Linked DNA regions of Oryzias latipes. The protein of the gene in region 2 interacts with the protein of the main gene of each other region in a pairwise test. Links are inferred from orthologs where the notes say so. Each region holds a gene or a part of one and is shown on either strand. Other genes may lie near its edges.

What was found.
Region 1: the proteins of atpaf2 (region 2) and fsbp interact in binary tests that used the Homo sapiens proteins (3 or more experiments, as listed by UniProt). The two-hybrid records come from large-scale screens. The link is inferred for Oryzias latipes from reciprocal best matches to the Homo sapiens genes ATPAF2 and FSBP.

The regions. Positions count from the first base shown.
Region 1 is NC_019874.2:17,752,178-17,755,931, reverse strand, and holds the start of fsbp (fibrinogen silencer-binding protein), read left to right. Parts: upstream 1-1,315; 5' UTR 1,316-3,225; coding exon 3,226-3,632; intron 3,633-3,754. Other genes in the region: DNA repair and recombination protein RAD54B, read left to right, coding at 57-237. UniProt on the Homo sapiens protein: Transcriptional repressor that down-regulates the expression of the fibrinogen gamma chain. Represses transcription of GSK3B gene promoter via its interaction with APBA1.
Region 2 is NC_019877.2:3,256,455-3,260,208, reverse strand, and holds the start of atpaf2 (ATP synthase mitochondrial F1 complex assembly factor 2), read right to left. Parts: upstream 2,381-3,754; 5' UTR 2,137-2,380; coding exon 2,013-2,136; intron 1,927-2,012; coding exon 1,882-1,926; intron 1,785-1,881; coding exon 1,636-1,784; intron 1,555-1,635; coding exon 1,457-1,554; intron 2-1,456; coding exon 1-1. Other genes in the region: gid4 (glucose-induced degradation protein 4 homolog), read left to right, coding at 2,745-2,936, 3,322-3,381, 3,732-3,754. UniProt on the Homo sapiens protein: Plays a role in the assembly of the F1 component of the mitochondrial ATP synthase (ATPase).

The DNA.
Region 1 (3,754 bases), on a different chromosome or scaffold from region 2:
GGACCAAAATGAGGACTCAAGTGTGTGTAATTAAACTGATATCACTTCTTTTGCAGGTCCAGAGAAGTCTATCTGTGGCAGTGGAAAGTGAAATAAATGTGTCTGCTAAAACCAGCCAAACTGCCCCTTTGTCACGGGCTCTGGCTCGAGTTCTCAGTGCTACTGACAGTAAAGAAAACGAGGCTGACACCAAATCCGTCCCTGGATTAAGAGATTTAACAGAAGATGAAAATAAAGGTATGTTTCTAATTGTTTGTGTAAATTTATAAGGCAGTACTACTTCTGTTGTATCCTAATGTTTTGGGGAGTCATCAGTAAAATAGTCCCTCTGGTCTACAGTAGAATTTTTTTTTTGCCCTTTATTTTTATACTTAATTTTTGTTTTTTGGTGGTTTTGATCTGACTCTTCAGGTAAACATATTTTGCAACCCAGTTTGTGTGTTTCATACAGCACTTTTTATTCAGTCTGACATACAAGTTTAATTTATCTACTGAAAAGATGTCAGTGTTGTAAAATAATATGCTTGACGGAATTAAATAATATCTGAATTTACTTTATATAACACTTTCAGCTAAACTGTAGAATTTATTCATCATCAGCATCAACAATATATATTTACTTTGTTTAAACTTATCACTTGTATTTCCTTAATTATCATAATAATGGGAAAACAATTTGGCTTTTTTTCTCTAACCTGCTCCACCAACATAAGCATGTCCCTTACAAAACTTTACAGACACATACACACACATACTTCCAAAAGGTTTTAGAAAACAATGCTTAAACATTCAAATTACCATTAAAGCTGACAGATCTAATTAGAACTAATACTGGATTTGGTATTGATCTTATAGACATTGCTAACGCTTTTAGTCAATGACATGACGTCTCACCTCCTGGGACAGACTGTCCAGGGTGTACACACCTTCGCCCAGCATAACCGTTACAGGTACTGTTCAATTCAATTCAATTTTATTTGTATAGCCCAAATTCACAACAACAGTCGTCTCGATGGGCTTAGTATCGGTAATTGAAAAAGTGAAACATGAACTCAAAAGGATCATGAATACAAAGAGTTCAATAGGAAAATTCTAAAATGAACTAACAAACTGACTAAGCTATACTGGCATCCCTGCCCTTAAACCCCTTTCACGGTAAGGAAAAACTCCTAAAAAAAACGGACTCCGGAAAAAACGAAGAAACCTCAGGGGTGCCTCCATGAAGGAGGGATCCTCCCCCAGGACGGACAGGCGATTTACCAGAACTCTTAGAGAAGAATTAACTTATCTAACTCTACAACTACATATTTAAAGTCCAGCAGACGAGCTTTATCCAGACGGAGTTGGGGGGACAGTAAGGGGCGAGAGTCGAGCAGGAGACAGGATCCAGAGCCAGGTGTCAGGGCAGGAGCAGAGACGAGGTACACGGTCAGGTGCAGAGCAGAGACGAGCCAGAGGCAGGATCCACAGCCAGGTGTAGGACAGTAGTACTGTTTGGTGATTTGGTTCGGACGGGTATCAAATTGCACAGCGCCGCTGAAATCGCGCTGCTGCCAGACCTTTGCACCACACCCGTCGCTTAAATCACACCACTGGACCTCAGCACGCGTCTCTACCATGTAATTAACTTTGAAAACTGGCTGCCTCTGCCGCGCCACTCGCGTTCGGTGTGAACACAGCATTGCCCTATCCATAAGACATGCTCCTAAACTTAACCCTTCCTCTGGGTCCGTGCGGCCAAGAAAAAAGTTTCAGCACTGGCTGCACGTATTTGGAAAATTACGTGTGAATAGTCACTTTCTTTCAGGCATTTCATTGTATTTGGTGTGAATTGAACAATCTGCATGTGCTATATTAAAACAGTTCTGAGCCACAGCTAGTGTTGCTGGTGCAATGTAGCCTAAATTATAATGTAATTCAAAGCATTTTTCATGGGCTAGTAAAAGTTATTTTTCGTGTGTAATTTTATTATACAGCAGGGTCTGATACACACAGAAAATATGTCACTTCACCGTTTCTGAGAAACACCTCTATGTCTGTCATTTGTGCCCCCCCTCTTGTGCCAAGCTCTTCACTCATGGAAGACACAGCTTGCAGAAAGGGGAGGGGTCAGGGGCGGGGCTACCAGCTAAGCACCAATGACCACGCCCACGTGGAGGAGATTTTGGAAACGGAGGCTTAAGACAAACATGAAATGTGGCTTTTTAAGACAATTATGTTGTGGGATTTTTGTTATAATTTTATAATCATAAATAGAAAACCACTCGGAATGTTTTTGTTTAAATAAAAAAAGATCTTGGGGGACTAAACACATCTCCCCTCCTTAAACGGTGTCACGTGATCACTGTTCTACACTGAAAGAGTCTGTTGGAGCGGGCGGGTCGATGCAGCAGGTCCAGCATTATGTAAATGAGCAGCTGCTGGGTCCAGATTAGGACTGTGCTCGGGATCAGACGAACGTCCTGAAGCCACGCGGCGCGTGTCTGCACGGTTTTCCACGTGCTTCGGCGGACTGTTTGGTGATGCCCCGCTCGAAACTGACCGCACGTGCAGCAACAACAATCGTGGCGGGGCAGAGAAGCTGCTGTTCTGAGCATGCTCAGTGAGCCCACGCCCCCCGTCCCCCGCTCATTGAGTTAAACTCGCTCTACTTCAGAGCATCTCTGTCCTAAAGATAACAGACTCTGAAACCAAATAACCTCTTTTATTGCAGTTAGAGACCGTCTGATCTCCACTAAAAGCACAACAGAATGTTATTACCATTTTATTTTGACAGTACAGACAATATGACTGTGCTGCTTAGCTTGGTGTGGGGTTTAGAGAGACCAGGCTGTATGTAGGTCGGGCTGGGCTTAAGCAGCTTAGCTACGTCAGCCTAAGCTGGGAGGAATTCATCCAAAACCCTCTGCAGTAGGCGGGGGCCTAAGCGAGGCTGGCCTAGTTAAGCCTGATTCTTATTGTGTGCAGCACATCCTGTTTTTGTTGTGCAGCGTAGCTGTGAGAGAACCCAGCAGTGTGTGAAGCCATGCACCTGTTAGCTACAGTTTACCATTTAAACCAGAGAGGGGAGATGAGACATGGAGGGGGTTAGATCTATGGACCAAAGGAAGATGGCAGCAAGGACTAAAAACAGGACGGATTAAAGAGCCACCGCATTGAGTGTAGAGTTTCTTAGAAGGGTGACAGCATCTGATCTGACGCAATCTGAATCCATTATGCTATGAGATGGCTTCCAGCTCCATGTTTCCGTCCAGCATGGTGGGAAAGGCTCGGTCCTCCAACTTCACCCTCTCTGAGAAGCTGGACCTGTTGAAGCTGGTATGTCCACACATCCGCATCCTTGAGGAGCACACCAACAAGCATGCGGTCATTGTGGACAAGAACAAGTGCTGGGACACTGTGGCTGAGCAGTACAATGCTTTGGGAGGAGACAGACCCCACCGCACCGCTCAAGGCCTCAGGACCCTCTATAAGAGACTAAAGGAGTCGGCCAAACAGGAAGTGATGCAAAGGAGACACGCCCAGCCGGAGTACAGAGCCAGCATTTCCGAGCCAACCAGGAGGATTATGGAGATGATTCCTCACCTGTTTCACCACGTTCCCATCCATGAGAAGGACCAGGCACTGCGCAGGTATGCTGTGACCTACACCTGTTCTCAGACACACCAAAACCTTTAAGAATCTAAAGAGGACACAAAAAAAGAGAGCAGTTTGACTCAGATGTCTCAAACACAGAGAATTGTCACTTTAATCT
Region 2 (3,754 bases):
ACTGAATCAAAGCATAAATAAATCACTGTTTTGTGACAACAAGGTAACTTAATCTGAAAATGAAACTTAAAAAAAAGAGGCAGCCAAATGGCAGATGCTATAAGAGAGCAGCACAGCCTGCTCCACAGTCAGGTATATGGCAACCATCTCCGGTGAAAACAAAACAGACCTTGCTTTCACTTTACTGGCCAGACAATGATGGTCCTATTAAAGAAATTAGGTCAAAGAAAAAGTTTGTTGCATTCATTTTCACAGTAATTCTTTATTTTTAATGCTTTGGAGTCTGGAATCATCTGACAATGGACCGAGAAAAAAAAGTTTCTCCTGCAAATATCTAGTATATGAAATTCATAGAAGTTCCAAAATTCATTTCTTTTATTTTATTTCCATAAACAAAAATGCTAGTTTTCTGCAATAAGCTAAAAACATCTGCTTTCTTTTACAGTGGCATTACAGTTTAGTGCAAAATGCTACATTAGTCAAATAAAGGGAGATAACTAAAAATACACTGCATAATTATTAATAATAATCACAATAACAAAAGGATCAACACAAAAAAACAGTAAAATAAAATTGTTAATTAGCTAAAGAAATTAAGAAAGTGAACGTTGCTAAATCCTAAGCTAATATGCTAAAGTAAATAGAAAATGTAAAAAGATATATAGTGCCAATAAATGTATTACAAATTCACACCTACACAATAAAGTAGCTAAAACATAATAATTGTAAATAAAAGACTGATGCAAATCTGTTTGCTAAAACTACTAAGGTATCCATAAAACAATTAAGCAGACAAGTGTAAAGAAGTTGAATATTTCAGGACCACAATAAAATGTTTAAATTAAATTCTGAATAAGATAATAAGTTTTTTTTAAATATGTGTAAAAAGTTAAAAAGACAAGGGAAATAAATAAATATGTAATATATAAATTTAAAGAACTAAAGGGATTATCTAATACATAGTTGACAGTTAAACAATATATCTCATTATACAAGTATAATTTATAATAATGAAAAAAAAAGTCTAAATTATATTAATAGGTTCGAACATTTTCAAAAAGCTAAAAAGTAATTGCATTTTGACTATTATTTGCAAAAAAAATTGCAAAAAAAGAGCACAGAATGGCAGATAACGTTTTATTTTTTACAAAGAGAAATAGAAAAAAAAAAAAACATATTAGATGTAGTTGCATCTCACAAGTCCAGGATTTGTTTGGGTACTTTTTATCTAAACAAACCTAATTTTGAATTTTCTATTGTTTTGGTATTTCTGTTAGGTGCTTTTATTTTGAAGTCCTTGTTGCTTTTCTCTCTAGATTAAGAACATTTTTTCTCCATTCAAGTAAAATATTGATTTGAAATACAGGTGTTTTATCTTTTAAACTGAGTAACCGGCATAAATGAGCCAAATAATCATCAACTCTGGACAGAAACAGTATAAAAGCTAAATCCATACCAGATCGTGTCAGTCTCCAAAAACTTCAACGCTGAATTGATCATTTGCTCCTTGTTGCGTTGGGTGGGGTTGTCCAGAGCCGTGTTGCACAAAGTGGTCTGCAAGAAAAGTTCAACCGGCATATGAGTACGGCTGGCTACACACTGTGGTGTAAATAGGTCAGAAAAAATATCCCATACAAGGTGCATGGTATAAAACTTGAGTGTCCCCCTCTGAGCATCCCACTCTGTTGCCACGGCGATAGCCAGGGCTTCATTTGGTACTGTGAACAGCTTCCCTCCTGGAGTTTTGAGTTTCCTTCTATCCAGATTTATTTCATACAAACCATCTATGGACAAAATCGTCACAAAATTAGAGAATATAATCAATCTTGGTCTTCCCTGGAACAATAAATAAAATTATTTTAAATTTTAAATAAGACTCACCATCTCCTTGAGATATGCTGACATCTTGATAAAATCTCTTCCTCTCTGTCAAATAGCAAAACATGTAGCACATGATTAGCACACAGCATATTGATAATTAATAATAGTAATGTCAAAATAAACACGTTTACCTGTAGATGCAGTGGAGTATTTTGACAAACACTTGGAGTACTGATGACTGGGACACGACTTGCAAACTGAAATTACATTTCCAAAGGAATTTCGAAGTTGAAAAACACGTCTAAACATATTCATACCTAAATTTGGACGTATACTGTTTACAATAAAAAAGACGATTCACTAGCGATTTCTTAAGCCGGTCTCTCACGCACTAAAGTACCACATTGAACAAACAGATCTTGAGTGTATAATGAACCTGACTCTACAATAAATCTGTTGTTAAACATTAAGGTTTTCATCTAGCTTACAGTAACACATCGGTTCAAAACCACGCGTGTGACCTTCGATGCTACAAAGCTACAAAATGTTTTCATTGCATGCTTTGGGAAATGTAGTTTATTTTTGGCACTGCTAACGCTTACACATCACTTAAAAACTACATCAAAAATGTTCACGAATACTCTTCCGCCTGCTCAGCCAATGAGCGTCGACGATCTTCGAGGGTGAAGTTGTTGGACCAATGAGATAAGCCGTTGCTACTGGTTACAGCGCAGCTTCGAAGTCCACTTTTAGTTCTGGGGAGCTTGATGCTTCGCAAACTGAACTGTGGCGCAATTAAGAGCAATTTGAATGTTTGAGGACCTCCTCGGGACTTTCTTTCTGGCTGGTCGTACAGGTTGACCGAGTCCCGCTGCCGCACGGCCGTTGACCGCGGTTGGAGTTCAGCCTGCGAAGCTGGAGCTATGCCTGTCCCCGCTGGATATCTCAGCGAGTTCCCGGCCGCGGCCTTTGCATCCTCGGCCTCGCTTATCCCGCTGCCGCCGATAAACACTCACCAGCCCGGTGTTGTCACGTCGCTGCTGTACAGCGGCTCCAAGTTCAGAGGCCACCAGAAAAGCAAAGGGAACTCCTACGACGTTGAGGTGGTCTTACAGGTGGGGGGCACCGAGGCGGAAATGTTGCTTTTCGTACTGCGAGCGCGAGGCTTTCGGGTGATGTGTCAAAGTGGCGGCTGGAAGAGTGACAGCTGAAAAAAAAAGGGGGTCCCGGCCTGTCCTGGACCAACTGTGGGTGTAGTGGTGGGAGTAGCAGAGCAACTGCGCCCAAACAACACCGACTAACAACAACCAGCTGCACAATTTTCTACCAGTTTAAATTAACACAAACTATCACAACTAGCTTAAATGTTGCAACATTAGGGGCTGTTGACATTTTTTGAGAAACTGCAGCTTCTGACCGTCAAGTTTTGTTTTTGTTATTTTTTTTAACATAAATTCAGTGGAGATTTGACCTAAAAGTTCTGTTTATTATTTGTTACAGCATGTCACAATGGAGGATTCCTACTTGTGTGGCTATTTGAAAATAAAAGGACTCACAGAGGTCAGTTCTGTTCATATTTAGAGGATTCATGTTGGAATATGTACATGTGGATGAACTGGACTTAGAATTTTAAATGTTTTTGCAAGTTTTTCCTCCACCTTTTGTGTAATTTTTCTTGCAATGACTAAATATTAGTCCAACTGATCGTGAGCCAAATAATTCTACATAGTTTTTTGTTTTGTTCTGCCTCTGAAGTGCAGATATTTTTAATTAAGGGATCGATTTGCTTAGAATATTTTTAAACGTCTTAATTTTCTATTAATGATTTATACATAGCGATAACCTAGCCTTAACGCTGTAAAGTTTACAAAACAAGATTGTTGGTATAATCCAGTTGCACATTTTCGTAGGAATATCCGACCCTGACCACTTT